3 linked regions of the Nothobranchius furzeri genome follow. The protein of the gene in region 2 purifies or fractionates together with the protein of the main gene of each other region. This does not show direct contact. Links are inferred from orthologs where the notes say so. Each region holds a gene or a part of one and is shown on either strand. Other genes may lie near its edges.

Evidence for each region.
Region 1: the proteins of kdm5a (region 2) and phf12b purify together in Homo sapiens (affinity purification with mass spectrometry; 3 studies listed by BioGRID and IntAct, with this or other methods). This does not show direct contact. The link is inferred for Nothobranchius furzeri from reciprocal best matches to the Homo sapiens genes KDM5A and PHF12.
Region 3: the proteins of kdm5a (region 2) and gatad1 purify together in Homo sapiens (affinity purification with mass spectrometry; 6 studies listed by BioGRID and IntAct, with this or other methods). This does not show direct contact. The link is inferred for Nothobranchius furzeri from reciprocal best matches to the Homo sapiens genes KDM5A and GATAD1.

What each region holds. Positions count from the first base shown.
Region 1 is NC_091753.1:61,662,777-61,673,743, reverse strand, and holds the start of phf12b (PHD finger protein 12), read left to right. Parts: upstream 1-5,499; 5' UTR 5,500-6,144; coding exon 6,145-6,210; intron 6,211-6,515; coding exon 6,516-6,697; intron 6,698-8,136; exon of another isoform or gene 8,137-8,147; coding exon of another isoform or gene 8,148-8,161; coding exon 8,162-8,234; intron 8,235-8,624; coding exon 8,625-9,081; intron 9,082-9,304; coding exon 9,305-9,425; intron 9,426-9,606; coding exon 9,607-9,739; intron 9,740-9,841; coding exon 9,842-10,006; intron 10,007-10,185; coding exon 10,186-10,329; intron 10,330-10,967.
Region 2 is NC_091741.1:53,781,448-53,791,688, forward strand, and holds part of kdm5a (lysine-specific demethylase 5A), read left to right. Parts: intron 1-310; coding exon 311-433; intron 434-514; coding exon 515-685; intron 686-801; coding exon 802-996; intron 997-1,156; coding exon 1,157-1,235; intron 1,236-1,311; coding exon 1,312-1,403; intron 1,404-1,487; coding exon 1,488-1,646; intron 1,647-1,767; coding exon 1,768-1,887; intron 1,888-1,970; coding exon 1,971-2,129; intron 2,130-2,267; coding exon 2,268-2,449; intron 2,450-2,547; coding exon 2,548-2,710; intron 2,711-2,790; coding exon 2,791-2,910; intron 2,911-2,999; coding exon 3,000-3,194; intron 3,195-3,284; coding exon 3,285-3,466; intron 3,467-3,586; coding exon 3,587-3,711; intron 3,712-3,885; coding exon 3,886-4,036; intron 4,037-4,123; coding exon 4,124-4,244; intron 4,245-4,355; coding exon 4,356-4,532; intron 4,533-6,669; coding exon 6,670-6,848; intron 6,849-6,930; coding exon 6,931-7,249; intron 7,250-7,320; coding exon 7,321-7,881; and 5 more. UniProt on the Homo sapiens protein: Histone demethylase that specifically demethylates 'Lys-4' of histone H3, thereby playing a central role in histone code. Does not demethylate histone H3 'Lys-9', H3 'Lys-27', H3 'Lys-36', H3 'Lys-79' or H4 'Lys-20'.
Region 3 is NC_091759.1:18,088,198-18,098,581, forward strand, and holds gatad1 (GATA zinc finger domain-containing protein 1), read right to left. Parts: upstream 2,462-10,384; 5' UTR 2,235-2,461; coding exon 2,040-2,234; intron 1,678-2,039; coding exon 1,555-1,677; intron 1,481-1,554; coding exon 1,421-1,480; intron 1,333-1,420; coding exon 1,149-1,332; intron 1,076-1,148; coding exon 885-1,075; 3' UTR 662-884; downstream 1-661. Other genes in the region: chrac1 (chromatin accessibility complex protein 1), read left to right, coding at 3,745-3,897, 4,025-4,151, 4,564-4,649; uncharacterized protein si:ch211-57n23.1, read right to left, coding at 5,366-5,507, 7,248-7,876. UniProt on the Homo sapiens protein: Component of some chromatin complex recruited to chromatin sites methylated 'Lys-4' of histone H3 (H3K4me), with a preference for trimethylated form (H3K4me3).

The sequences.
Region 1 (10,967 bases), on a different chromosome or scaffold from region 2:
TAAAATATTGTTGTATTAAAATTATTCAAAAATGTTTTCTGATTATTATTTCATGTGTCAGGCTTTAAGGAATTAACTGTCTCTCTAGGCCGATGATATCTTTGCACAAGGTTGCAGATTTCTCTCTCAGAATCTGAATGGAAGTTAGACTCTGAGAGAAAAAGAGAACCATGATAAACATGGTTAGTTCTCTCTCTGTCTCTCTCTCTCTCTCTCTCTCTCTCTCTCTCTCTCTCTCTCTCTCTCTCTCTCTCTCTCTGTCTCTCTCTCTCTCTCTCTCTCTCTCTGTCTCTCTCTCTCTCTCTCTCTCTCTCTCTCTCTCTCTCTCTCTCTCTCTCTCTGTCTCTCTCTCTCTCTCTCTCTCTCTCTCTCTCTGTCTCTCTCTCTCTCTCTCTCTCTCTCTCTCTGTCTCTCTGTCTGTCTGTCTCTCTCTCTCTCTCTCTCTGTCTCTCTCTCTCTCTGTCTCTCTCTCTTTCCAAAACATGGGGAAAGAGGTGGAGCCCTGTATTTGGTAACTGGATCTTTAGTGCCAGTTTACTGACCTAATATGATGTAACAATGGTGGCGGACTGGCCAGGTGTGAATTCTAGAGAATCCCAGAATGGCCAGTGTGCTTTAGGGCCGATGATGGCCTCCACCTGTCAAAGATCCCCAGCAGCAGCAGATGAGGGCCCAGGGCGGGTCCCTCCCAAACCTGGGCCAGGGACCTGCTGCCCCCTCTGAAGCTCCGCCCCTGAATGAAGCTACTAGCTAAATTAGCTAACCCAAGAAGCTGAGAAAGAGCTAAGGGGTAGCCAATCTGCACGGCCACCTGGCTTCTGTGCAAGGCTGTAGTTTATACAGGCTGCCTGTGGAACAGACCACTGCGATCAGAGCATCATTATATGATCATGCTCCACCTCGGTCAAAGTGGATCGGAGATCAGCAGGAGATTAGCTACATGCTAACTCAAGCTAATGGAGTTAGAGAGAAACACGCGAATCACCTGTGCAGCAGCTCATCAGGCTGGCAGGAGCCTGTTAAAGTAGCTTTCTGGAGTTTTCCCCTTTCATGGGTCCCCGGAAGAATAAAAAAGTGAATGCATGTCAATGGGGCTAAAAGAGCTACTCTCTAATCCGCTTTGCCTTCGGCCCTGGATCGCGCATATGTTGTACTGCAATTTAAATGAAAACTAAAGATGGGTGTTTCGAACATGTCTGTCACATACTTTGAGATTTTTCAGCTTGTAAATGTTCGTAAATAGCATGACTACAAAACAGACATCAGCACGTCTCATATGACATTGTCGGTACCAGATCTGCTCGGGTGCAAGATCGGCTCGGGGTCCGTCGACTGCCGATGACGTCAAAGTAGTTGATTGGCTGAACATGAACCGTACGGAATTACGTAATCACGTTACGTTGTTATCACATTACGTTGGTCCAGGCAAATCTTTCTGTTGGGAAGATGGACAACTTTTACAAAGAAATCCATCATTACCTCTTTGAAAATACACTTTTAGCATAGAGCTGCATGTATATTAGGGCTGAACGATTAACTGCATGTGCAATTAAATTGTGATGTGACAAAAGGAGATTTTCTAATCGCAAAGGCTGCAATTTGGCAGCGAGTGGTTAGCGCAATGCTAATGTACATGGAAAAACCCATAGGAATGCTAATGCTAAAGTTAAAATTTCCAAATAAATATTTAGTTAGCAAGCTAAATATTTAATTTGTAGTTAAATATTTCTTTTGTAAACTAAATATTTAGATCAGACCTAAATATTTAGTTTGCAAAAGAAATATTTAACTATAGATTAAATATTTAGCTTGCTAACTAAATATTTATTTGGAAACTTTAACATTTATAAATGTATGAATTACATGGTGAAAAGATGACTTTGAAAAAGTGAACTCCCAATTTTTTCTCTTATTATTTGCTAAATAACCAAAAATATTGCTGTTAGATTATGACTGTTTGACTTTACAAATGGCACCCCATAGGACAAGATGTCAAAAACTCTAAACACAAAATACTTAAATAAACGGGACACACTTCTTTCCTGCAAATACAATTTCACAGGTGTTACTAATACCTATGATCCTTCAAGGGATGTGCTCAAAGAGGAGTTCAACATCATGAATAAAATATAGTGTTTAATTTACAAATACCATTATAAACACAAACTTACGTCTTAAGAAACATTATTTTAATAACGAAACTGCTAAATTCTTTCCAACAGTATAGATGTGTAGTGTATTTTGTCCGAGTGGGTTTGCCGTACATTGACGTCATCGGCAGTCGAAGGACCCCGAGCCGATCTTGCACCCGTGCAGATCCTGTACCGACACCGTCACCACATAATCACGCCTCCCCTAACGTAGCTACTACTTACCACATGGTGATATTTATGGTGGTTCTTTCCTCCTGAAGGAAGGATTAGAAGTTTGCGGAACTTACAGCCATTTTCCTTCTGTTTTTCTTTGTGTCTGGTTGTACATTTGGACTTATTTTAACACAAAACCTAAAATAAAATAAAAATCTCCTCCAGCGGTTCCACAGTCGTCCCCAGAACAGAACCAGCCTTTGTTATTAGGCTGTTGAGCCTTTTCAGGTCCCTGCTTCTGATGCTGCTACCCCAACAGACGATGGCTGAAGAGATTACACTCTCAACAACAGACTTGTAGAAGATCTGCAGCATCTTGCTACAGACATTGAAGGACCTAAGCGTCCTCAACAAGTGCAGTCTGCTGTGTCCCTTCTTGTAAACGGCTTCGCTGTTCTTTCTCCAGTCCAGTCTGTTGTCCAGGTGAACTCCAAGGTGTTTGTATTCCTCAACCACCTCCACTTCTTCTCCCATGATGGAAACAGTGTTTGACTCCACCTTGTTTCTTCTGAAGTCTAAAATCATCTCCTTTGGTTTGTTCACAAATTTTAGCCCCATTGACTTGCCTTCATTTTGTCGTTCTTCTGGGGACCCATGGTGCAGAAGTAGAAGGGCGTGAGTTAGGCTCCCTGTGGACTTGCATTAATTTTTCCCAGTCTGTGATATAATGAGCGGCCTTAGGAATGCAGTTGTGATTGAGCACATGGGCGGTCGGTGGTCTGTGATATAATGAGCGCATCTCCAAGCACATGGGCGGAGCAAAAGAGCGCGGAGAAGTAGTGTGAGCAGTCTTGCTTTTTGAGACTCTGACTCTGATATTGCATCCCGCTTTGCTGTGTCTGGCAGTACTGTGTATGTGTCAGTGTGTGTGTGTGTGTGTGTGTGTGTGTGTGTGTGTGTGTGTGTGTGTGTGTGTGTGTGTGTGTGTGTGTGTGTGTGTGTGTGTGTGTGTGTGTGAGCGCTCCTCACTGCAGTGAGGGACAGAGAGAAACGGCTTCAGTCAGAGGCTTGTTAACTCCACAGCATCCAGAAGGATAATGAATCATGCATGCGGGAAGCCTCCGCGGGCTGATTCTATCTGCCAGTCGGAGGTTCCCAATAATAATAGGTCTGCTTTTCAGTCAGCCAATCAGTCGGCAGTGGGTGTGTCGGCCCGGCTCCAGGCAGACCTCCTCGAGAAGAGGGCTGAAAAGATGTCCAGGAAAATCCAAGGCTACCCAAACGAGAACAATCACTTTTATGGATTTCTAAAAAATCATAGTCCTGAAAGGGGGAAACTCTGGATAGCAGCTTTAAGCAAATTGATAAAACAAGTGAATTAAAATTCAGTCAGAGATTTGCAGTGATTCACATTAAATCAAATTAAATTAGAAGTTGAAAGCACCTTTGGGCATCAGACTAAGTGGTGAAATCTCTGAAGAATGAATGAAAGTGAATCATACAAAATCTGGGAGACGAGGAAAAATCGAGTACAAGGAAACCAAGAAAGAATCAGAGCAGGTCAGAGAGGTCGTAGTTCTGCAGGGTTAAATTAAATTCTAGAAGTTAAGATCTTTATTCTAAATATCAAGTTTGATTGGAAAAATATGTGATAATACAAAAGGCTATTAATACTGAATATGCTGATTATTCATGAGTAGCTCAACAATTTTGGTTTCGCAGTCCAGCATCAGGTATGATGACTGTCCTTAGGTGTGAGTGGGTGTGTTGTCCGACCTATCCAGGGTGTCTCCTGCATCTCGCTCAATGACTGCTGGAGTTAGAAAGCCCCCTGCAACCCTGCTGATGAAAAGCAGTTAAGAAAGAGAGTGAGCAAGAGTTTTGTTATGAACCGCCTTTTTTATTGAATAATAAAACTCTTTCCTCAAAATAAAAAACATAGTGATAATGGATAGCCTGAACACTGAATGTAATCATTATGAACATATTTAAAGCTAATAAATCAAGTCGTTCTGGATAAAATCAACTAGGCCCAACCAGAAACTGTAGAAAGAGATCACAATCATTCCATCAGCAAAGCAACTAAAACATAACCCTATCCGGCTAAACGCTAAGGCGGTGGCTCCCTCTGCTGGTGAAGCAGAGAAACATCACCAGACCAAGGACGACCAGTTTCTGCATTGTCTGAGTTTCACCCAACAGTTTGCATAAAAATATACAAATTTTTAAATGTTGCATTTTTGGAGCTTTATATTGTCCTTCCTTTAGTTTAAAAAGTAAAATAAAAGTAAATTCATTCGTTTCGAATTAATTTTAGTTTGAAAACCGTCCCGATGTTTTCTAAATTAATAACCAACAATCTGCTTATTGTGTGGAAAAGTTCTGAATCTTTTCTTCAGCGATTCAATAAACAGTTTTAACAGAAACGGAAGTTACGGTAACATCGCGAATGAGTTACTTTCAAAATATAAGCAGCCCGTTCTGCTTCACATCGCACAGGAAACGTAACACAAACAAAACAAAGCTACTACATCAAGTTTTTCTTTGAAAACTTTCCTAAACCAAGCCTTTTCCAGAAAAGTTCAGCAACCTATTTCTGCTGATTCTGCCATTCCACTAAAAAAAGACAGTGAAGGTAACAGGTTCTTTCATGAGCTGACAAGAACTTTTAAAATGCCACTTTAGGTCACTTTCAATTATTTTTAATTATTCCAATTTCATTGTACTGAAGCAATTACACTTTCTCAGCAAGAAATTGACCACAATGTAGAATTGAAAAGTACTATATGTGTAATAAAAGTATTATATGTGAGCTAAACATAAACATGAAAACTGAGGTTCATGTTTATGGATCTAAATAATGTAACCCGGAAATTTTATTTTGAAGAAACTCAAAGGAACAATACCGTATTGCCGCGTGTTTGAGCGCACAACCAAAAGCAAAGGTTTTCCTGACCATTTTAAACATTCATTGATGAGTTTAAATAGCTGAAAGTATAATAGATGAAAATAAATTGAAGCTTCATTTCTTTACTTTTATTTTAACGCCTACACTTTCTCAAAGACCTTTTTTTGTGTGTTTTGAGGCTTGAATTTTTTTAACTGCTGCAAGAGCCTTTAATGGTCTACAACGGACTCACACTTCGTTACACTCATTACAATATTAGTATCGTTACAATGTTGTCCATTTCTTTCCTTTACCAGTGCGCATGCGCGTCTGGCGGTTCGCGGTTGCGCCAACTGGTAGGATGTTGCTAATAGCCCGTGTAGATGCACAGCCGTTCCCCACAACAATAACATCTAAATTTGCATCTTCACACCCTTGAATCGAGTATTACATTTTCTAAACGCGCTCGGAAGCTGTGTTTTGGACCGAGGCACGCCGAACTTCAAAGTGGATTGTTTGGTTCTTTATTCTGTGGACAATGGGAGCGGAGGGGTTTGCAGATCTACAGGGCTCCCTTTTGCAGGACCAGAAGCGAGAATCATGGCTTGCCAGCTAGGCCGCCGATGGATTTTGTCGCCATGAGCAAATATCCATTGATCATCAAATACTGGATGTATTTTCGGTGATTGCACATAAAAGTGGTGCTACCAGGCTCGCGTCTTTCTCTGACTTCTTCTGTTGATAAGACCGAGCCCGTTAGCTTCACAACCTTGACTGGCTGACGTCTTGCGCGTCGTAGTTAGCTTTTTAGCTAGCTAGTGATAGCTAACCATCTTGCCGCTGGCCACAATCTTTAGGAATTCAACATTTTTGCGGGATTAGCACTCACTGCCGTGTATCTCAAGGAGATCAAACTTCAAAGTCTTTCCTGCAGCGTTTGCTTCTGAATGAATGTGGGACAAAATGGAAACTCCGACGATTGTGTACGATCTGGATACCTCTGGGGGCTTAATGGAGGTGAGGTTGCTACGTTTGAAGGCCTCAGTGGAAAGATTGAGCTTTTCTAGCACTCTGGTTGTTTGATGTTGTTTTACTTAGGGTAGTTATGGCCATTATAGCGTTTTTACGAGCGACTTGGTCAGTAAAGTCTGGTTAGGGTTTGTGATGTGCTCTCAAGTTGGTGGTGTCTCTCGCTTAGTTCTATGACCGAAGACTTGGTTGTTTATTTTAATAAACAACCAAGTCTTCGGTCATAGAACCTGCATTTTTTTACGTTTTTAAATTTCCTGTGTAAATGTAACCGCCCTGGTTTCATTTTACAGCAAATCCAAACTCTACTCGCGCCTCCAAAGTCCGAAGACGTGGACAAGAGGAGTCGAAAGTTGGTGAGAGACGTCCGGAGGAGCGGCAGAGCCACCAACCACGACACCTGCGACAGCTGCCGGGAGGGGGGAGACCTGCTCTGCTGTGACCACTGTCCCGCAGCTTTCCACCTACAGTGCTGGTGAGTGCTGGCTAGCAGCAGCAGCTCCGCGCGCTGTGGTGCTGCTTTAGCTAGGCGGTGAATGCTAACCATGGTGGGGCTGTAGATGCTAACCATGGTGGGGCTGTAGATGCTAACCATGGTGGGGCTGTAGATGCTAACCATGGTGGGGCTGTAGATGCTAACCATGGTGGGGCTGTAGATGCTAACCATGGTGGGGCTGTAGATGTTAACCATGGTGTGGCTGTAGATGTTAACCATGGTGGGGCTGTAGATGCTAACCATGGTGGGGCTGTAGATGCTAACCATGGTGGGGGGCTGTAGATGCTAACCATGGTGGGGCTGTAGATGCTAACCATGGTGGGGCTGTAGATGCTAACCATGGTGGGGGGCTGTAGATGCTAACCATGGTGGGGCTGTAGATGCTAACCATGGTGGGGCTGTAGATGCTAACCATGGTGGGGCTGTAGATGCTAACCATGGTGGGGCTGTAGATGCTAACCATGGTGGGGCTGTAGATGCTAACCATGGTGGGGCTGTAGAAGTCAGTTCTGCTCTGAATTACAGGAATTCCGTTATGACCCAACGGCTCTGGGACTACCAGCTGCCTGTTGGTGTTGAGCACATAATCTCTCTGTGAACGAATAAAGTTCCCTCTGCATTATCGCACACACCGGGGGATGTTGTCACGCCTATTACCTAGCTTGTTATAACCAGACGGTTGATCGTAACTTCGATGATTGCTCCAGAGGTGTGTTATTAAGGTTTGCTCTCTGCGGTTTAAACGAGGCAGAGTTGACTTGCAGTCGGTCCTCCTCTCCTGCTGCTGCTGCTGCTAAAAATGGAGTCGAGGCTGCCTCTGTTTACAATATGGCGACTTCTCTGCTCTCTTCAGCGCCATCTTACCAACCTTTACATTTCGGTGCCGAGGGGCGAAAGGTTTGCGAATAGCATTAAACCGGCGGTGTGGTTTTGTGAGTGTGTAGCGGTTGTTGTTGTTGTTGTTGATCGCTGTGACACTTCCGGTGGCGCATCAGGAACTTCTGCTTAATCACATCTGGTTGAGGAGTTGCGTTTTGGCTGTCACCTGGAAGCGATTTGACTATATTTGGTCATGGCGGTCAGTGGCAGGCTGATCTGGGACGTGACAGGTTGTGCTGAACTGTTAAACCAGCTGTGAACACGGGAATTTCCCAGCTATGCGTGATAACCCCGCACGGTAACGTGTCCCACCGCTGATGCGTTTCAGATGCCTCTGATTATTATAGAGCAGTTCCTAGATCAGCTGCTTTCATGTGGAGGAACTAGTTTTATACATATTCTACTGTAATGGCATGATCCGTCCACCAGGGGGAGTCATTGCTGGGAAAAGGCCTCCGAGTGCATTTTCAAATAGATTTGGTTTGATATTCAGTTTAAATCACGTGACTGAATGGACAGTTATCATTTCCTCCTTCAAGCCTGATGGTTTATGCTTGTTTATAGTAACCCACCTCTGAGTGAAGAGATGCTCCCGCCAGGTGAATGGATGTGTCATCGCTGTAACGTTAGAAAAAAGGTGAGTTGCAGGTGCGCCTGCACGATTCTTTTTTATTAGGTTAAGTTGTGATCCATCTTTGAGATGTTCGGGTCTTGAAATATTAGCACATGAAATTTACATTCATTTAATTTATCTTGAGGTGTTTTTCAGTTAAAACTTCAGCTATTTGAAGAACTTTAAACACTTTGTCATTAGGCTTCCCATCCCGTACCAGTCTGCTTTAAAAAGGAACTTTGTTAGATTAATAGTTGAATGGATCAGAACGTCCTACCGTGTGTGTGTGTGTGTATTCTACAGCATATATTATCTCTGCTCATTATAAACCTTCCAAGAGTCTTTCTTCTGAGTCAGTGCCGTTTGCTGCAATCAGGTCATTCCTTTTGATCCGTTTCATTTGTTTCTCATCAGAAACGGGAGCAGAAGAATGAACAGACTAATGGTTTACTGGAAAGGAGCTTGTCTAAGCGTTCAGCATCCCCCGCTGTAGAGCTGGAGCCCACTGCTGGGCCACTGAGGCTCGATGGTTTGCCTCCAGGAGCCGGAGCTGCAGGTCCTGGCCTAAGAGTAGCGCAGGTCCGCCTTCTGGACCGCAGGACCAGCAGCAGGCCAAGCAGTCGTCCCGGGACACCGACATCCAACACATCCTCTACCCCAACCCCATCAGAGGAGCAGAATGATGGAGAGGAGGAGGTGGTGGAGCCAGAGGATGATATTTCAGGAGCAGAGCCTGAGAGTGCAACGTCAGCAGCTCCAACACCTCGTCTCCTCAAGAGACCCTTTCAGCTCCTAATAGCTGCAGCCATGGAGAGAAACCCCACCCAGTTTCAGCTGCCGACTGAGCTCACCTGCACCACTGCGCTGCCAGGTCAGTCCTTTAGCACGCCCACAGACCTGAGACTGTTGTCCGGTGGGCTGGATGGTAAAGCTCAGCAGGATGTCATTTAGCAAGCGTCCAGTAAAGCTAACTGTAGTTACATCAGTAAAGCATTCAGGTCAGAGTCCCCTGTCTCCAGCTTGTCTTTGGACTCAGGTGTATTACCGGCTCTCACCAGTAGGGGGCTTCTGAAGGGTGTCTTGTTGCTTTTCAGGCAGCAGCAAACGGAGGAGGAAGGAGGAGCTCCTAGGGAAGCCTTTCAGAAGGCCCCAGCATGAACTGGACACGAACGGACTCGTCCCTCTACCCGTTAAAGTCTGCTTTTCATGCAACAGGTTAGAAACCAGTGTGCTACTGGGATTCTCCCACCAAGCAGGGTATGTTTCTAAAGACCAGGCTCAGGGATGTCAGCCGGCTGTGGCTCTACTCAACACGACAAAACCAAAACACCCAACTTCAGCACTGACAGAAGACTGACCCGTCTGTGGTGCTGAAGTGTGTTTGTTTTTCACACAGGAGTTGCAGGCTGGCTCCGCTGATTCAGTGTGATTACTGTCCGCTCCTCTTTCACATGGACTGTCTGGACCCGCCACTAACAGCTTTACCCGCGGGCAAGTGGATGTGTCCAAACCACGTTGAGCACTTGGTGGTAAGAAGCCTAAACTGGTCTTGAGTTAAGCCGACTTCCTGTTAGTCTGATCCGTTTGGGTGGGAGTGTGGCTTTCTCTCATTGTCCTTGTTTTCTGTCCAGCTGGACCAGAAGAGCCTGAGTTTGTCCAGTCGCTGTCAGCTCTTTGACCAGTTCCAGGACAGGGTTTCCCAGCACGCTGTCAAGTTGGACTTTCTGCGCCGAGCCCACCAGCGGAACGCTCCCAATCGGCGCACGACTCACCCGCAGAACAGGAAAACCGTTAAGGTAGACCGCTGCTCTGTCCGCTGGTGTGTGTTTGAGTGATGATGTCATGGCGGCGTCTGACATCAGCGCTTGATCACCGATCCTCTGAGTTCTCCTTTCTGACTCCAGTCATTAAAAAGCTCACGGATGAAGAATGCGTGTTAGGAGAGGAACGTTTTCAAACTGTTGTTTTCGTTCAGGTGCCAGATGCCATCAAGGCTCAGTACCAGAGTCCTCCCCCCATGCTGCTTCCTGCAGGGGTGCGCCAGCTGGAGCTGGTCTGTAGCGGCGTTCCCGACCATCAGCCTCATAAGCACCAGACCACTGAGGCAGAGCAGGACGAGGTGGGTCATGTTCTAGAATTACACATGACCTGGAAACCTTTTAGTCACAAATTCTGTACGAATATTCCAAACACAACTTGTTTTGTTTTCCCTGCACTCTACAGTATCAGAGGAGACGCACGACCACTTGTTTGGTTAGAATATTTCGATGGCTTGTGCAAAACATGTTGGTGAAGTTTCTGCACTAAATTCCTCTCACTTACAGCAAATTCAGCCCTTGTAATCTTGGCATTTTCAGGACCTTCCAGAATGAGTCGTTTCAGCGCTTTCGCCAGGCCTTTCCACTGGATGCGTAAGCATTGCGTAACGTCTGCAAAGTGAAGCCCGCCGCCGTTGGCCGGCATTCTAGTCGATAGGTGCGTGTTCGGTAGATCCAGAGGTTTGGTGACGCGTTGCTCTGCTAGACTCAAGGTTGGTTTATGCTTGACGCGTCCGCGAGGTCCGCATGGCTCCGCGCGGAAAAGTTGAGTCATTTTGCGTCATTTTAACGACCACGCGCCTCCACACGGCCCAGAATTTCCGCAACGCGCACCTCGGAAAATTTCTAACCACACGGACGGACGGACGCGGAAGAACATGGCGGACTGGCAAGAACTAGTATGGCAGAGGTTCGTAAATACAGACATGTGTATGATTCA
Region 2 (10,241 bases):
TGGATTTGTGTTTCCTTTAGTATCTGAGGAGAGATGAAGTGCGCCACGGAACCTCCTTTAAATCACTGACAGGAGAATTTGTTGAAACAAATCAAAATTTTCTACCTTTAATATTTCTTTTTCTTATATGCTCCTCAAGTTCTGAGCAGCAATAAATGTTTAAATGAACTTTAGTGTTTTTGTATTTGGATTTAATTACAGATAATAGCTATTATTGCTTCAGGTGCTCAATAAGTGTAACAGAGCGTTTTATTCCTGTTCTTACAATCTGCTCTCTTTTGTCTCTGTTTTTTTTTTTTTTTTTTTTCAGGCCCTAACTCGGGTTAAACTAAACTTTCTGGATCAAATAGCAAAGTTCTGGGAGCTGCAGGGATCAAAGATTCGATTTCCTCACGTGGAGAGAAAGGTTCTGGACCTCTATCAGCTCAGCAAGGTAAAAACGGATCTACCTTTTTAATGCCTGTGGCACTGTCCGTGTTTCCTCTGCTAACTTTCTTATCTCTGACTCGTTCAGATTGTGTCATCCGAAGGTGGCTTTGAGACTATCTGCAAAGAGAAGAGATGGTCCAAAGTGTCGAGTCGAATGGGTTTCCCACCGGGAAAAGGCACTGGTTCCCTGCTGCGTTCCCACTATGAGAGAATCCTTTACCCTTACGAGCTCTTCCAGTCTGGAGCTACGCTCACCGTGAGTGGAGATCCTCCTCAGTTTATTCAGTCCTGATTTAGTTTATTCAGATCAGTTTCATTGAAACAGTAACGAAAACTAAAGAAGTTTTTGATTCTACTAATCGTTTTAATCAGGGACTCCAACGGCTGTATGACGAGGCAACGGACGGGGAAGACGTAGATGAGGGGGTTGGCGAGGAAACAATGGAGGAAGACGAGGATCAAGAAGAGGAGGACGAGAAGGACAAGGAGAAAGACGTGGAGGGCGAAGTGACACAAACCAAGGGGCAGCTTCTTCCCGAGAGGCGCTCCAGACGTCTCAAGTCAGAGGTGAAAGCAGCTGTTGGCGTCACTCACATGCTAACGGAACTTAGAAAGTCACATTTTTGTTATTTTTCTGCTACAGCAGCTAGACAAACTACAAAAAAGGCCTGTATAAATCCTAACTGTTGTTTACTGTCTGCTCTTGTGTCTCATTGGACTCCTTTAGAGGGAGAACAAGGACCCTAAAGGTCTCAAAATCTTTGAAACAAGTCCCAGGATGGTCGATTTAGAGATCGTGTCTGCTGGTAAGCTTCAAACTGATAAACTTTTACATAGTAAATATTAGAAAAGCAGATTAATTACGTTTCTTCCCCTATCTAGACGACGGGTTTATTAAGAAGCAGCGTCACCTCAAAGCTCAAGCCTTTGCCATCAAAATGAGACCACGTAAGGAGACCCTGGAGGTCAACTTCGTGAGTCAGATTTGTTTGAGTTTGGCATCAGAGGCTCAGAAGTCACCCCTAGGGGTTAAACTTTTTGCATCTTCTGTCCCTCAGATTGACCTTTACCTCTGCCTGGTGTGTGGACGCGGAGACGAGGAGGACCGCCTCCTGCTGTGTGACGGCTGTGATGACAGCTACCACACCTTCTGCCTCATCCCCCCTCTGCAGGATGTGCCCAAGGGGGACTGGCGTTGCCCCAAGTGTGTTGCTGAGGTAAGGACTGAAAGATGTCTGACAGTCACGACTGATCAAATTTTTTAGTTTTTTTTTTTATTTTCCTTTTGTTGAAATTCTGTTAATCAGAATCTTCTTTCTGCGTCGTCTTTTTCTACAGGAGTGCAGCAAACCCAGAGAGGCGTTTGGCTTTGAGCAGGCGGTCAGAGAGTACACGCTGCAGAGCTTCGGAGAAATGGCCGACAACTTTAAATCAGACTATTTTAATATGCCGGTTCACGTATGTCGAAGGAGCTCGTGAAGAGGATTGAATGTGATTTAAGAGCTGGGATGGGTTTAACCAGGTCCACCTTTTATGTTTAGATGGTCCCTACAGAGCTGGTGGAGAAGGAGTTCTGGCGTCTGGTCAGCAGCATCGAGGAGGACGTAATCGTAGAGTACGGAGCTGACATCAGCTCCAAGGAGGTGGGAAGTGGGTTTCCTGTGAAAGATGGCAAGAGGAGGCTTCTGGGAGATGAGGAGGTGAGTGCCTCTGAGGCACTTTTGCCTTTTTTGCTGAGTTGTTTAGTTGATTTTTATGTAAATGACCTTCATGTGATTTTCAGAATTAGTAAAACAAAAACTTTGAAACATTATCAATGATGACACGATTCCCTTCAGGAATACGCCAACTCTGGCTGGAACTTGAACAACATGCCGGTTCTGGAGCAGTCGGTTCTCGCTCACATTAATGTGGACATATCCGGCATGAAGGTTCCCTGGCTCTATGTTGGGATGTGCTTCTCCTCCTTCTGCTGGCACATCGAGGACCACTGGAGTTACTCCATTAACTTCCTGCACTGGTGAGAAGGCACAACTGGAAGAGCTGATAGGTCCTGCAAAATCATTTTGACAAAAAAAAAATATTATGATGCAAATCTTTGCTTCTGCTGTTTTTTAGGGGAGAACCCAAGACTTGGTATGGAGTACCGGCCTCTGCAGCAGAGAAACTGGAGGCTGTGATGAAAAAATTGGCCCCAGAGCTGTTCGACTCTCAACCCGACCTCCTTCACCAGCTGGTCACCATCATGAATCCAAACGTCCTCATGGAGCACGGTGTTCCTGTAGGGTGGATGTTTGATCTGAGGACGTGTCTGTATGGTCTCTGTTGTTCCCCGGCCTTATCTTTGTGACTGCGTCTCAGGTTTACAGGACTAACCAGTGTGCCGGGGAGTTTGTGGTGACCTTCCCCAGAGCCTATCACAGCGGCTTCAACCAGGGCTACAACTTTGCAGAAGCTGTTAATTTCTGCACAGCTGACTGGGTGAGGAGAGTCCTCCTAGCACATTCCATTTAACACCGCTCTTGTTTCCTTCACGGCGGAGTTAGTCACGCTTTCACATGCTCTCCCAGTTACCTTTGGGGCGCCAGTGCGTTGCTCACTACCGACGGCTCCACCGCTACTGCGTCTTCTCCCACGAAGAACTGTTGTGCAAGATGGCGGCTGATCCCGAGAGCCTCGACGTGGAACTGGCTGCGTCCATTTTCAAGGAGATGGGAGAGATGATAGAGGAGGAGACGAAGCTCAGGCAGGCTGTCCAAGAAATGGTGAACATGTCAAAAGTGTTGGACTGCACCGTGACTGAGCTGAAATTCAAACCTAACCGTTAAAAATCATCTTTTGTTTCCTGGATGTAGGGGGTGCTGTCATCAGAACAGGAGGTCTTTGAGCTCGTTCCAGACGATGAGCGTCAGTGTCACAAGTGTAAGACCACCTGCTTCCTTTCGGCGTTGACCTGTCCCTGTTGTCCGGACCGGCTGGTTTGCCTCCATCATGCCAAGGATCTCTGCGACTGTCCTCTTGGCAACAAGTGTCTTCGGTAGGAATTTTCATGAATAAAAAACCTGTTTCTTTTGTGGGCTAAATTTAGAAGTCGGGATCCTAACTTGGTGTTCCATTTCTTCCGTTAACCACCTTCAGCTTCGTTTTTATGTCTCAGATATCGTTATGATCTGGAGGAGTTTCCATCCATGTTGTATGGCGTTAAGACCCGGGCTCAGTCCTACGACACCTGGGCCAAGAGGGTCTCTGAAGCTTTGGTAGCGGATCAGAAGAACAAAAAAGGTCCATGCATGTTTTTCTCCACAGTCTTAAACCTTATTATAACCTGAAAATGCACATAAAACATGTTCCTTTTTCAATCTGATCAGAACTTTTATCTATTAGCTCCAAAACTGAAACAGAAATCTAATCTCGAACGTATCCCTTTGAATTTTTATCTCCTTGTTTGTCTTATAGATTTGATTGAACTCAAGGTTTTGCTGGAGGACGCAGAAGACAGGAAATACCCTGAGAACTCGTTGTTCCGTCGCTTGAGGGAGATGGTGAAAGAAGCGGAGACGTGTTCCTCAGTGGCTCAGTTGTTGCTCAGCCGTAAGCAGAGGCACAGGTCTGTACACCTTCACACCACAGGCCAGCAGTGGAGCTCCCATTGTCAGGTCCAGAGAAGAGCTGACGGTGTCGTCTGTTTTTGCAGCAGCCGCCTTCGTTCTGAAAGCAGCCGTAATCGCACCAAACTGACCGTAGATGAGCTGAAAGCCTTTGTGGGCCAGCTCTACAGGCTGCCATGTATCATCAGCCAGGCGCGACAAGTCAAAGTCAGTCCTGTCTGTTATTGTTATACGATGCCCACATACAGCATGTTTCCTCCTGCTTCACTCCTCTGATGACATCTGACCTCTTTTCTTTAACTCCCCATGTGTTTTTAGGAGTTACTGGAGACTGTGGAGGACTTCCACGAGCGAGCCCAGGTGGCTTTATCAGACGAGACGCCCGATTCCGCCAAGCTGCAGGAGCTTTTGGATCTGGGAAGCGGCCTGGACGTAGAGCTGCCCGAGCTGCCTAGACTCAAACAGGAGCTGCAACAGGCCAGGTGGCTTGATGAGGTGAGCTGTTAAAGTGGGAGCCAAGGCCTGGGTGGAGACGTATTTCATCCACACTTCCTGTTAACAAAACACTTCTAAAAGAGCCTGATGAACCGAGAGAGCAGCACTGAGGCAATGACAGATGGCAACCCCCCAGCGTGCGCTGTTTCTCTGTTGAAAAACAAGTCCACGAGCACACATGGAAGCAAGCATACACTCACAGCAGACTTACCTCTCAGGAGAAGAGCAGACACAGATTCTGCAGCATTCTGGAGGATTTTATGTCCACTGAGATCATTAGACGAAAAGGGGAGGAGGGCTTTTTTTTTTTTTTAAAGGAGGCAAGCAGCTCAGAGCTCCAACATGTCATATCGGCAGGTGAGTAGTTGAGCCGGATGGAGGTGCGGCTGCCTCACCTGGAGACCAGTGCATTGCAGCCTTGTAGTAATTTGCTGACAATGTCACGTTTTTCAGCTTAGCCGTCAGCCACAGCTGATTCTAAATAAATGTGGAGATGAGTTTTTAACCTGAAGATGGTGATAGAATTACGGTTTGGGGCTGAAATAAGTTTAACGTAAGTTGCACTAAACTGCCACACTAATGGTTACACATGTCTACAGCACTATTAGACACTCATCTATCTTTATCAGCAAAAAGGTTAATTTAGGTGTTACTCACTCTTTAACCAATCCCAGCCAAGACTTTAGTAAACCTGTCCCTTAGCAGGGATTTGTTAGGATTGTAGAGGCTTAACACGTCTGATTATTCAAAGAATTGCAACGTTGTTGTGCTTTGAGACTTTATTTCTTTCCATAAGATGGCAAGAAAAAAAAACAATTTAATCAGGGACTCCAACTAATAATAATAATAATAATAATAATAATACATTTTATTTAAAAGTGCCTTTCAGGACACCCAAGGTCACTTGACAGAAAATACTTAATAAAATACAATAAAACAATAATAAAACCCAAACAAGGAAAAAAAAACTGAGAGAAACAGTTCAGTAAAATCAGAGGTTGTAGGCAGATTTAAACATATGTGTTTTGAGTTTAGTTTTGAAAAGGGTAAAACTGTCGATGTTCCTGATGTCTGGGGGAAGTGAGTTCCAGAGACGAGGAGCAGAGTGGCTGAAAGCTCTGCTCCCCATGGTAGCGAGACGGGCAGAAGGAACCGCAAGATGGATGGAAGAAGAAGATCTGAGTGAACGGGATGGGGTGTGAATACTTATAAGGTCTGAGATATATGGAGAAGAGAGGTTGTGGATTGCTTTGAAGGTATGGAGGGGAATTTTGGAGATGGACCTGAATTTAACTGGGAGCCAGTGAAGTTGTTGGAGAACCGGGGTGATGTGGTGAAAGGAAGGGTTTCTGGTGATAATACGGGCTGCTGAATTCTGGACCAGTTGCAGTTTATGAAGGAGTTTGTTGGGGAGACCATAAAGAAGTGAATTGCAATAGTCGAGACGGGAGGTGACGAGGCTGTGGACGAGAATGGCGGCAGTGTGAGGGGTCAGTGAGGGGCGAAGACGGTTTATGGAACGTAGATGGAAGTATGCTGACCGAATTATGTTATTAATGTGAGCTCTAACCCTGTCCTTATTCGTGCACACCGAAAATTCCTTAAATGGCCTGGAAAATGGCCCGGTGGAATGGACGCGCATGCCGGGAAATGCTGGTAAATTTACCCTGAAGTTCCGCTCGTGGAAACACGCCTAAAGTTTCAAATGCTCTGGAGCCTCAAAGAACAAACTATTATATAGGGTTAAATGCATAGAGATGACCTTGTAAATATGAAGAAGAACAAAGAAAAAAAAAGCTGTAAACGTGATAGTGTGAAGAGGTTTTTAAACTAATAGTGGATGAGTTAATTTGCATATTGGAAACCTTTGAGAATTGGAAAATAGTTTTACATCATCAAGAGTCTCTGTTTTTACACACCGTGTCTCCTCGAGCAGCAACTGTCAGTGATGCTGGTTACAAATCCTTATGGTGACTCATGATGCAGTCTCCTGTGCACATTCAAAGTAAATCACTTAATTATTTTAAATATTTTACTCCCTAAAATACTCAGCTCTGAAATGGAAATCCAGAAAGTAAAATTTAAAGCCTGAATGTAAAACGACTAGAGCTCTTTTTCCATCTTCATCAAACTTCAGGTCCGTGTCACCCTTTCTGAACCACACTGTGTCACTCTGGAGCTGATGAAGAGGCTGATCGACTGGGGGGTGGGACTGGCTCCACATCATGCTGTGGAGAAGGCGATGGCAGAGCTACAAGAGGTCCTCACTGTCTCAGAGAGGTGGGAGGACAAGGCACGTGCCTGTCTAGGTGCCAGGTGAGGCGGATTCAAAGATGCACCAAAAAAAAAAAATCCTGCACTTGAAATCTCTCTGAGTTGTAATCATCTTTTGCCTCAGACCTCGACACAGCATGGTGACCCTGGAGAGCATCGTGCTGGAGGCCAGAAACATCCCAGCATATCTGCCCAATATTCTGGCTCTAGAAGACGCCCTCCACAAAGCAAAGGAGTGGAGCGCTAAGGTGGAGGCCATCCATAACGGAAGCAGCTACGCTTATCTGGAGCAGCTGGAAAGCCTCCTGGCCAGAGGTCGCTCCATCCCCGTTCGACTTGATCCACTGGCCCTGGTGGAGACCCAGGTGGCTTCAGCTCGGGCCTGGAGGGAGAGGACCGCTCGCACATTCCTGAAGAAGAACTCTACGTACACGCTGCTCCAGGTTAGAACACATCTGGTTCATTACTTGCGTCTGAAAACATCATAGACCTGAGTACAGCCTCTCTTTCCCAGGTTCTCAGCCCACGTATGGATATCGGCGTTTACAGCAACAGCAAGAGCAAGCGGAGGCGGGTCAAGGAGCTTATGGAGAAGGAGAGAGGTGGCTTTGACCCCCACACTTTGAGCGACCTGGAGGAGAGCCTTGAGGAGGTCCGAGACCCTTCAACTGTTGTAGCTGCTTTCAAAGCCAAAGAGCAAAAGGAAGTGAACGCCATTCACTCGCTCCGTGCTGCTAATTTAGCCAAAATGGCCATGGCGGACCGCATTGAGGAGGTCAAGTTCTGTCTGTGTCGAAAGACAGCCAGTGGCTTCATGCTGCAGTGTGAGCTTTGTAAGGACTGGTTCCACGGCGCCTGCGTCCCTTTACCTAAAACAGGAACTCAAAAGAAAGTGGGCGTGGCCTGGCAGAGCAACAGCAAAGACTCCAAATTCTTGTGTCCGCTGTGTCAGAGGTCGAGGAGACCGAGGCTGGAGACCATTCTGTCCCTGCTGGTTTCCTTACAAAAGCTGCCGGTGCGTCTGCCAGAAGGAGAAGCTCTGCAGTGTTTAACAGAGAGAGCAATGAGCTGGCAGGTATGTTCCTTTAATTATTCAGTTCCTTCTGCGTCCAGTTTCCCTTTAATAATCTACATGGGTGTCACCGTCCTACCAGGACCGAGCGCGTCAAGCTCTGGCTACCGAGGAGCTGTCCTCCGCTCTGGCCAAGCTGTCTGTGCTGAGTCAGCGTATGGTGGAGCAGGCGGCGAGGGAGAAGACGGAGAAGATCATCAACGCCGAGCTGCAGAAAGCTGCTGCCAATCCAGACCTGCAGGTAGCCCCGTTCCTCAAGAGTGTTGTCTCTGTTTTTTAAAAGCACCACGATGCTTTTAAAAAACAGAGACAATTAGAAAAGAAAAATAATTTTTTCCAATAATTTTTCTTTTCTAATTCAGTTTATTAATAAAATGAGTTTTTAAGAGTCAAAAAATATTTATTTTCCATCTAAAAAGTTCTATTAAACAAATTCTTGAATGTTGATACATTGGGGAAAAAAAATAAAAGTAAAACATTTTTTTAACCAGGTTAATCATTTAAATCGTTTGTCACAAACTTCACCTAAATAGTTTAGATGAAAGACCAGAAACTACTTCCTGGTCTAAGATAATAACGCCCATGTGTGGACTTACGTTTGAATTGCATATTTATCACATTAATTTTTCAGATAACTTTTGTTTTATAACTGAGTCCCAAGGTGATTCTGAAGGCTATTCTGCCTGTTTGGTTTATTTCATCTCCAACAGAGTGAACTGATTTATTTGTAGGGATGCTTCATCTAAACAGCTGTAGCTTTAATATTTTAGTTTACATGTTGTTGTAAAAATCCAGCTACAACATTTTTATTTTGCTCCCGTCTGTTTTCTGCCATGGCAGCATCAGGGAGCCTTCGGTCGTTTATAAGCCGTCAGACCATGGCGGTAATGTGACGCAATCGTGTCCTTTTTACAAAAGATTAGGTGATGGCGGCATAAAGGGGGTAGGGGGGGCGGTCTATGTGCTGCCGCGGACTCCCGTGTATCTTGGACATAATTTGCTTTTTATTGCGATCAAAGTCATGCTCATTACGTTTTTTTAACAAGCCGCTCCTAAACAGGGTATCCACGGGTCCTTAAAAAGTCTTTAAAAGTCTTAAATTAGCTTTTCCAAATTTAAGGCCCTAAAAATCCTTAAAAATGACAAATAATCCTTAAATACAGTTTCCAAAGGTCTTAAATTACCAAAGACCCAATAAACAAAATTCTTTTATTTCTATTAAATTTTCGGAAATTTCTAGTTAGTGTTCAGCATTTTTTGTGTACGATGTTGGCGTAAGCGGAACCGTACACATTCAGTTGGTTGTGAAAGGGGGCTATGTTTAGATGAGCACATTAGCTGGTTAAGCTAGTGGGAGCTCGCGCCATGGGGAAGTGCAAGTTTAATGGTAACTGGGTGGCTAATCCCACGTTCGCGATGTGGTTAGCACCGGTTTCAGGCAATAGCTGGAAATTATAGTTTAAATTTAATTTAAAGAATAGCTTAAATGTGGTCAAAGTGGCCTTAAAAAGGTCTTAAAAAGTCTTAAATGTGGCTCCCTTAAACCTGCAGATACCCTGCTAAAGGTGTTTGTCCTCCACAGTCCCCGTGCGGTCTCTGGTTGAGCTCCAGCTCTAATGGAGAAAAGCTCCAGTAGCGCTGCATCGCTCCAGATTATCATCTCCGCTGATTCTGGTAACAAAAGTTAAACTTAAGGCCCGTGTTTACTTTCATTTTCAAAATGGTTGCCGGTCGGAGCTCAGGAGTAACTCCCCACGTGATCCTTACACCTCCCTCTGTTGCACCAAGGCACAATCACCGTTTATAGGACAGACGATTACTACAATATTACTACCAAGCGAGGCGGAACAAATGCCGCAAAATTTGTGCATCGCCATGCCAGCATGGCGCGTTTATAAGACACACCGTTAGGGTGATATTATGCTGATTTGCCGTCATGGTGATTCTTGTAAAAGGGGCTTATGTGGAGGTTAGAAAAAGGCTATTGCTAGCTCACTTTCTCAGTTTTATGCAACATTTTCTAGTCAATTATAAACTGAGAAAAAAATGTATTTAAAATGTTTTCTTCTATAAACGTTTAATGTTAAATGAGCTGCTGGAAGGCTTAAGCCTCCGCTCTTTAGCATCAGCCTTTCCATCTCTCTCTCACACACACACACACACACACACACACACACACAGAGTCTTATCAGAATTGAGAGCCTGTTATCTGTGTTCGTGTTCCTCAGGGCCACATCCAAACCTTTCAACAGTCCGGTTTCAGCAGAGCCACGTCGCCTCGCCAGTGCATGGACTACGACGACGAGGAAACGGACTCGGATGAGGACATCAGAGAGACCTACGGTTATGACATGAAGGTTTGT
Region 3 (10,384 bases), on a different chromosome or scaffold from region 2:
GTGATAGTTAGGAGAGCTGAGCTTATTTATAGAAGCAGCTGTGTCATGTCCTTCGATGGGACACGGTGTCTGTTTAGGACTTTGTACCGCTGAGATGGGCAGCTTTACACTTCAGGGAGGTTTATTGGTAACGCTTTACAATAAGGGTGCCTTTATTAGCGTTACACAGTGTATTAAGCATTAATAAAAGCTCGCTTAATTAGCATTAACTATTAAGTGTCCTTAAGGTTGGGACAAAGGGAGGGGAGGGGGTGTCTGCTTAGTAATGCATGACGTAATATTGTTAACTTTAATAGTTTATTAATGCAGAAAGTAATGTTAATAAAGGGACCCTTATTGTACAGTTTTACCAGTTTATTATTCACAAGCTTGGTTTTAATATCTGGACCTGTATTACATTTGATAGACACGATTAATTAAACCATTTTCTATTTATAAATTCATAAATATTGCATTCAGTAAAATTGAAAAATACATTTTTTGTAATTGATTTATTATAAAATAAACAAATCCGTTTTAAATTATTTATTGGTGTTTTTAAATCTATAGAATGTAAATAAGAAGTAAAAACTAAACATTTCATTTCCAAATAACAAAATAATATTATTTGCAGGATACTGAAATTCTTGCACAAACTTTCTTCAACAATAACAGGCAAAACTGATGCTTGAAGGGTTTTTTCACATTTTTTTATTTGCAAATTTATTCCAATATTGCAGTTATGTGTAAACAACTTGTATACGCCGTCCATCTAGTATCAAATTGCAACTTTCCTTTATACTGAAATAGTGGCTGCCGTCCGCAACCATTTTCTCTATGTTACATAAATGTACATTTATCTGTTTGACAACAACAGGCAACAGGCCAAGTCCACATCGGTCCTGTTAGCTCGCGCTGCTGACAGACTCTTTGACAGTAAGAGTTGGTGTGGATCCTATGTGGGTCCAGATGTAACCCTTTTCAGGACATATGGGGATGGTGGGGAATGGGGAGCTCTGAGACTTGAAATACTCCGATGGGGCGTGGCACACAAACTCCAAGTATTCCATCTTTCTGGGTAGATCCTCCTCTGGTCCTGATAAACATAATAAAGCGAAATAAGATAAATCACTCACAAAAAAAATCCTTTATTTAGCCACAGTTCTTACCGACGATGTACGTTCCAGGGTTAAATTGATCGCTCGAGCTGGCCTGAGTGGGAATGAGCCACGTCAGTGCTGCACTTTTCTCACAGTACTGGTCCTGCACAAATCCTCTGATCTGAGCGTAGTACGGCTTTCCATCCTCCTCATCTATCACTTTGATCACATCGCCCACCTGGTAGTAAACGCCCTGCAAATACAAACACAGGATGGAAGAAGAAAAGATTAAAGTATCATCATTACGATGCCTTTTAGTTTAATACGAATCAGAATCATACCTTATAAAATATAGATTCTGATGTGATGATTGTTGCTACGGATTCTGGTGCTTTGATAGGCTGCGAGGAAATAATTTGGATGAGGTCAAATAAAAGATATCAGAAATAAATACATTAAAGAAGCAGAAACTTACATTTTTGAGCTTGAAAATGTGTCTTCTTCCTTTTCCTTTTGTTGACACTTTTTTCTCAGAAGCAGGAGCTTTGTACTTGGTGCTTCTCAGCCGTGCAGACCTCCTGTGGATTTCCTGTTTGGACTACAAATGGACACATTTAAATATTTCTGCTCCTGATGGCATTTTTTCAGCAGAAAAAAAAACTATAAATCAGTTTATTTTAATTAAAAATATTAAACTAAATGGTAAAATTATTTTATTAAAAAAATGACATGAAGTATTATTTTCAAACTATTTTATTCCAGTTTACTTTCTAGAAACATTTTCATGGCCACCAGGGGGCGCTGTTGTTACACCAAGACACTACTAAAGAAAAGCAAAAACAATGATGTTATAGTCATGTGTACGCTTTCTAAAAATTAACTAAAATAAGACATAAAAACTAACAATTCCTCATGAACTCTCGGATTTTGTTCGTGGCGTTTCTCTTCGGTGTTTCTGACCTGCTTGGCCCCGCCGTTGCTGGGCTGTGTGATGGTTGATATGGAGGAGGGTCCCGAAGCTCCCCCGCCGCCGCCGCTACTGCTGCTCTTCCCTGTGCAGTTGTTGCACAGTATTTCACCCTGGGTGCCTTTCTTCCACATTGAGGAAGAGTTCGTCTTACAGACAAAGCAGCACGGCTTCAAACCCAGAGGCATTTTACCGGCTAGAGAACGATGCCTCCGTACGTAAAAACGATCACAACAGAAACGCAGCTGCTTGGCTTATTACCAGATCACGACCGGATGTAGCTTTAGCATATTTCGCCAACGATTATCAAACAAAAATAACCGTAAAGACATCAAAAAGCCTTAAAACACAACGAAGTTAAAGCAGCATTATTTATGTACTGACTTGTTTCTACTTTCAGCGCGGAGGTTCTTCTTCAGCGTTTCCTTTGTTCTGAGGTCGGAAAACTATTGAAGTCAAGCGCCGCCTACTGGTGTGGAGGACTGCGTCGGGCGCTGGGCTGGGGCAGCTAAATGTGAGTCAGTATTTCCTTATTATCGTTGTTAAAATAGATATGAGTGCATGAACAACAACTTTGTGTTTTTTCAGGATTAAAATAATAAACTATTGATCACTAGTATCACTCATTCACATGTTTAAAAAGTTTGGATTGATATAGGAATTAACTTATTGAGTGCTGAAGCAGCGGCCTTCTTCTTCTTATCATTATTATTACAATGGGAGATAACCGTTTATTTGATTATTATCTGTTTAACAAAGTTGTTACTTTCCATGCCTTTGATTGTATCTTTTTCACTCTTTATTTTTACAGGTTTTTGCTGATTGAAAGACTGGCTTTCCCCACTAACAGACAAATAAAACGTCTTCTACTTTAAATTATTTAAATTATTAATATTTTTATTGTTAGTAGTAGCTAGTAGAAGTAGTAGAAGTAGTAGTAGTAGTAGTAGTAGTAGTAGTAGTAGTAGTAGTAGTAGTAGTAGTAGTAGGAGGAGGAGGAGGAGGAGGAGGAGGAGGAGGCAGAGTAGTAGTGGTGGTTGTTCCTGTTTTTTAATGTATTTCATATTTTTTACAGATTTCCTTAAAAGTTTTTAGAAAATTGGTATAATCCTTTGAGGAACTAAAATAATGTTAATTACTTTTGTTTACTTTTATAAACAATTCTGCAGTTTATTTTACTGTATTCTAACAAACACATTTTTACACTAGGACCTGTGATTCATGGAGAATAGAAACAAATGCAAACAAAATAAAAAGAGTTCCATTTCCTTTGCCTCACTATGGCAAAAATAATGATAGAGTTTATTCGAGATTATTCATTTGTATATTTAAGTATATTATATTAAATTATATTATATTAAATATAATAGTTTTAAACAAGCTGAAAGTTGTTTCTCTCAAGCATGGTTCTGTTTTGACCGTTTCCCAAGAGCTGGTTGGAATGATTGTCAGGTACTTTTTTAAAATACAAATATAGTATCAGGGTAAAATTTAATTACTATTTATTAAATTTAATCTAAATATACAGTGTTGTTTGAAATAACATCTTTTGTGCTGGGTTATACTCCTGCTTTCCAGCGGGAGGCGCTGTTTCAACGTAAAGACCACCAAAGAAATTGAAGACGGCGAAGAAGAAAGGCGTCACTCTTCAAAACAAAACTTAAAGTTCAGTCATTCTTGTCCTTTGTCCAAACAGAAATGTCTCGAAACAACCCAAACAAAGACAGCCAGACGCCGGACGCCAAAAAGTCCATCTCTCTCCCGGTGTCCCGGGTCAGACTGATCATGAAGAGCTCTCCGGATGTCTCCAGCATCAACCAAGACGCGCTGTTCCTCACCACCAAGGCTACTGTAAGCTGCCCTTGATGCTAATGTGGTTGTGTTTCTATTAGCGGGGGGTTAGCATAACTAGCTGGTGGTTGAACTAAAATCGTGTGAAGTTAAAATCGCTAAATATAGTTTTTAATCTGTTGTAAAGGAGCTGTTTGTGCAGCATCTGGCCCTGTCCTCCTTCAACAACGGCTCCGGGAAGGACAGCAACACCCTGGAATACAGCGACCTAGCTAAAACCACCGAGGAGAACGAGACCTTCCACTTCCTCACAGGCGAGTCTGGAGCTGAGCATCAGCGCGTCCTGAAGCCAGATTATTAGATACACTGGCCTTTATTGTATTTTAATGTTTTATTTATAAATAAGTGTTTTAATAAAGTCCCAGACACGAGGAAAATAGCAAAACGCCATTGGAAGCTAGCTTTTGGACCATTTAGGAAGATTTATTTTAGCTTTCCTGTATTTTACTGCCAAAAATGAAAGATTGGAATGAAACAGAATCAAACCAATAAAAAAAAACTTACAGATGAGAGAGAGAGCGATATGAATTTTCCACAAGAACTGTAAGCCGCTTACATTTATTTTAGCAACATGTAATTTTTGTGCCATTTGAACTTTATTTCTCAGAGAAAAGACCGATAATAAATAAAATTTATACTGAAAAACAGGTTTTTTTAATCTGACAGATATTTTGCCGAAGAAGATCTTGGCTCGAGATTACCTCAAGACTTTGGAGCAGATGCAAGAAGAAGAAGAAGAAGCTGATCTTTGACATGAAAGCCACTTTCCCTGGTGTGTGTGTGTGTGTGTGTGTGTGTGTGTGTGTGTGTGTGTGTGTGTGTGTGTGTGTGTGTGTGTGTGTGTGTGTGTGTCAGAGGAGACACTTATGGACTTTAGAGCTTTTTAAACACACGGTCTTGGAGAAGGTGGAGCTTAAATTGCCTCAGAGCTCAGCTCTGAGGAATTTAGACCAAATAATGGCAGTAAGCAAATAAGATATTTAACACTGGTTTAAAAGGCAGCACAGACCAATCAGTTCAGTTTAACATTTTAATTTTGGCTGAACACAGTCGGGGCTGTCTTTTAGGTGCTTCCACTTGCACCAGAAGTGAACCGTTACCTCCTAACAGACGTGACAAGCAGCTGGAACACAGACGTGACAGAAAACACGAGTGGATGAAAAACTTCATCCACCTGTAGAGAGGCGACGTGTTTAGATGAGAGACTGCGAAGCAGCGTTTGTGCCTCTCCAGATGTGAAATGCCACCTCAGCTTCACGTCATTTTCTTTGTTAAAATGTCTCAGAGGGAATCGTCGTTGTGAATTTACTCGTGTGTTTAGATTTGATATAAAATAAAGATGAATGCTAAAATAAATGCCTCTCGTGTCAAGATCCGATGTTTTATACTTTTATGATGTTTCACAAGCATGTTGCAGGGGATTGTGGTTGATATTTAGTTAGCTGCTGCATGAATGGAACATGAATCGTCAGCGTCGGGTCAGCTTCGCGAGTCGAAGCTGAAAATGAAACAGATTCTTCTCTAAAGTAGAAAAGTGACTCTCCAGGCTGTTCGCCGTGCGCGCTCTCCTGTCGAGACCGTCCCTCGTGTTGGCGAGATGATCGTTCAGCCTAAAGAGGACGAAACGAGTAAATATGGATAAGTTTGTTTTTAATCAAACAAACACATTCAGTTAACGACCTCTGATGTCCAGATGATGACTCAGCTTGTTTTCTACTTTTAGATCCATCATGTAATAATCCAGATTTCACGTGCCTCGTTAAGGATTCATAGCTAACCTCCACAGCTGACTCTGGATCAGTTTGTTCATGTAAAACAATCTGAACAGCTCATTTGCAAGAAATAGCAGATTTGTCTTTTTCAGCAGCCTGCTTAATCTCTTAATCTCACTCTTAAATTCTCAGTCTCACTATTTTAATCTCAATCTCACTATTTTAATCTCTCAGTATCACTCTTTCTTTCTTTCTCTCTCAATATCTCTCTTAATCTCTCAATCTCACTTTTAATCCCTCAGTTTCTCTGTGTCTCAGTATCCCAATCTCCCTCATAATCTCTCAATCTTTCTTAATCCTTCTCTCTCAATCTCTCTGTTATTCAGTTTCTCTCCCCCCCCCCTCAATATCACTCTTAATCTCTCAATCTCACTTTTAATCCCTCAGTTTCCCTTTGTCTCAGTATCCCAATCTCCCTCATAATCTCTCAATCTCTCTTAATCCTTCTTTCTCAATCTCTCTGTTATTCAGTTTCTCCCCCCCCCTCAATATCACTCTTAATCTCTCAATCTCACTTTTAATCCCTCAGTTTCCCTTTGTCTCAGTATCCCAATCTCCCTCATAATCTCTCAATCTTTCTTAATCCTTCTCTCTCAATCTCTCTGTTATTCAGTTTCTCCCCCCCCCTCAATATCTCTCTTAATCTCTCAATCTCACTTTTAATCCCTCAGTTTCCCTTTGTCTCAGTATCCCAATCTCCCTCATAATCTCTCAATCTTTCTTAATCCTTCTCTCTCAATCTCTCTGTTATTCAGTTTCCCCCCCCCCCCTCAATATCTCTCTTAATCTCTCAATCTCACTTTTAATCCCTCAGTTTCTCTGTGTCTCAGTATCCCAATCTCCCTCATAATCTCTCAATCTTTCTTAATCCTTCTCTCTCAATCTCTCTGTTATTCAGTTTCTCTCCCCCCCCTCAATATCACTCTTAATCTCTCAATCTCACTTTTAATCCCTCAGTTTCTCTTTGTCTCAGTATCCCAATCTCCCTCATAATCTCTCAATCTCTCTTAATCCTTCTTTCTCAATCTCTCTGTTATTCAGTTCCCCCCCCCCCCCTCAATATCACTCTTAATCTCTCAATCTCACTTTTAATCCCTCAGTTTCTCTGTGTCTCAGTATCCCAATCTCCCTCATAATCTCTCAATCTCTCTTAATCCTTCTCTCTCAATCTCTGTTATTCAATTTCTCTCCCCCCCTCAATATCACTCTTAACCCCCTTCCCCCTCACTCTCACATCTCTTCTCTCAATATCTCTCCCTTTTAATTTCTCAATTTCTCAGTTTTTCTTTGTCTTACAGTTTCTGTCCGTCTATCTTCTACAAATCCCATTGAATATTACAGATTACAGATGGATTTAATCATAAATAATCTTAATTCTGAAGCAAGAAGACTATGATAAAGTCCTCCAGTAGACCGATGAAGGCTACACGATGCACTTTCCTCATGACTTCATTTAAAAGTCACAACCACTCAAACATAAATCTGAGTGCAGGAGGCGAATCTTGTGTTGCAACAATAACTCATCAGTAGAACATTTTCAGCACATTTTAGGTTCTGGATCGGACACATTTTTCTCACCTTGTCAGGACAACTTGCTCCTTCCCTTCTTTCCTTTTCTGCTGCAGAGAAACAAACACCGTCTCCATGGTCTGCACGGTTTCTCTGACCTTCTGGTGGTCCGAGAGGATCCCCTGGACTTCCTGTCTGGCCTGGTGGTTGTACGAAACCCCCGCGTCCCCCACTCCGCTCAAAGTGGACACGGCCTGCAGGGCGGCCCTGTTCTGCAGAGCCAGCAGACGGGACTTGGCAAACTCCTCCGGCTCTGCCACGTTTTCCCAGCAGACTGGAGGGTGAGGCGGTAACCAGAAACGCTGTGTGCAGTTGACTCCTGGTCCTGGGGAGTTTATCACAAAGGGGCTGTCGGCTGGGAGCAGGTGCAGCAGAGACGATCCAGAACCCAGCTCCCAGTCCTCAAAGTCTGCTTCCCCAGATTGTTGCTCCGAGGGGACCGTAGGAGCTGCTGAGTCTGCATCCTCAGGAGAGCAAAAACCCAGAAGGAGGCAGCAGGAGAAACGCAACCAGAACATCTCCAACGATCCTGAAACTAAGATGAAGATGTTGTCTAAAGGAAAGACAGAACAAACGACAAAGAGCTGAGGTTTGAGTTTTCCACAGGCCAGCAGGAACATGCATGAGTGAAGGATCATTTACTACCAACTGTTGCCATGCACCTTCAAAATAAAAGCCCCAAAGGTGTTGAGACAAACCAGACTTAAAGCAGTTTTTATCTAGGCTGATCTATTTACTCACTAAAGACTTCAAATTGAAAAGAAATCCAGCTAAAGCTCACCTGTTTCCTAAACACTTAAAACAATTCCAGTTACAGGAATCAGCGTTGGTGTTCAGAAATGATCTTACCTTTTAGAAAGGCGGCAGAGCAGTGTGTGTGTGTGTGTGAGTGTGTGTGTGTGTGTAAAAGAGCTCATCTGGAGCCTGGAGCTGTTGGAAAGAATGAGTCGTGTGCAGCCTGTAACATGCAGTCTAAATGGTTTTCCACTGGCTCAGTTACAGCAGAACCAGGAGCCAAAGTCTGAGGAGGGAATGATGTAAAACTCACCTCAAATGAGCCGATGAGCCTCTTGTTTACCAGTTTTACAAGTATTTATTTCCCTGAGGCGAGTCTTTTCTGCAAAACCTAATTGTGTCGATAAGTTTAACGCTTGAACTGGAACAGATCTTTCTGATTTCTTTCTGCTTCTGATTTCCTCCACGTGGACAGATGAGTAGGAGGTTAGCCTGTTTTACGATTTCCGAAACGGAAACAGACTCTGGACCGCTTTCAAATGCTCAATTTTCAACTTTATCTGTTAAAATGAACCGTTTTTCATCCATGTCACAGAAGAAAGGGTAAAGAAAAGCTAAGCAACTTCTTATTTATCTAGTTTTGAGCTGAGCAGGAAGTGAATTCATCTCGTCCAACGTGTAAACTCTGACACAAGCAACAAAGGAATGGGACGGATTTTGGCAAAAACAAGCAACATGTGTTGTAGTTGTTGGGGAGGAACACGTGGCAGAAACCCTCAAGTCCGCATTGAAATCTGGAAGCGATTTTATCCACAACACTAATAAAACTGGTGCAAATCATCCAGTTAGTAGAGACAAAATGACATATAAATATAGGATATTACAGACATGTGATATGGCAATAAAATAATCTTGACACTGAGTTGTAAAGATTCTTTAATTGCCATATAATATGTATGTAATATCATACATTTATGCTTCAACATAAACCACAAAGACAGCATGACTAGACTGAGGACTAACAACTACAAGTACCCCTCCTTTCCACCGGAGCCGTCAGCAGCACGTTACTCGCGTATGCTGCTGCTTGGCCCTTCCCACGAGACGCGAAGCAGCAGGAGAGCGGCTGTCACCGACAGAGCACGAAGTCACGTGACATTAGCAAAATTACGCGTATTTTAGATAGCATAACTGACAGAGGTCCATACAGAAAAGAAATCACGTTAATAACTAGCATGAACTCACCGTCTTGCCCCAAAACCGCAGATACGTCACTCCATGCGTTATCCTTCGTCATTATAAAAACTGTGACTGGGATCAAACCGGATTGGGTACTTCTCCACTTTAGTAATCCACCTTTCGTCGTCCATTATGGAAAAACAAAGGAGACCGCTAGCTAGGTGATAACTTTTTTTTAAAGTAAAGCAACCGGAAGGCAGTACGTTTCTTTATTCTGAAAATCTCGGGAAGCTTCGCTCCATTTCCGCGTCCGATTTCCTGTCTTTCCTTTCCCAATAATGTCGAACTTGACCCATTTCAGGGGCGTAGCGCGGAGAAAATAGAACCAGCGCGTAAGGGCCGCGACATGCTGCTCCTGAGACTCGGCCGACTCGCGCTGCTGACGGCTCCGGTGGAAAAGGTTCTGTTGACCACGGCGGTTCCTGTCAGCAGCTGTGACGTGCTGCTGCAGTAACGTGCTGCTGACGGCTCCGTCACAGCTCCGGTGTAAAGGAGGGGTTAAGGCAGTAGTCATTAAGGGCCAAAGGAGCATGACTCCTGCAGGAATCAGTTTGGCCCCGCCCCCTGAAGTGCCCCTGTCCTGAGACTCATCTATCCTGATGATCAGATCATAGGTGGATCCAGTTTCAAGTCCAAACACTAGTGGCACTAATGATACAAAAAGGACTTTCCTGCATGAAAGCTTGTGTAAAGCCCGGACAACACTGCATTATTTTGGGCCATCCTAGACACATCTCTTGTCGTGAAGAGAATCGTGACTAAAAACCACGAACATGAGGGTGATTCGCAAGTATGTGGCTGTCCAGTGTCGACCAGATCAGCGACAGCTTAAGGAGCACCCTAACGACCAAAGTCAGCCTCCAACAGTCTCCGCTTAAGGTCATAAGGCTTAAGGAAGTTGGACTAACTCTTGGCCTCACTAAAATTAGTGAGGCCCCTTGATGGCCCCATACTCCAAAAAATTCTAGATCCGCCCCTGCTAGTATGAAATTTGGACTGGGACCGTCTTCCTGATGATAGAATCTAACACTGAGTGTTGTCAGAGCCTGCTTTAGCATTTTAAAAGAGTTGAATAACTAAGGGAAAAAGCTGAATTTACCCCTTCCAGTTGATCCATGAGGGAAATCAACAAGAATATTTTTTGCACAAGCCAAGCAGCTGCAGATGACGTA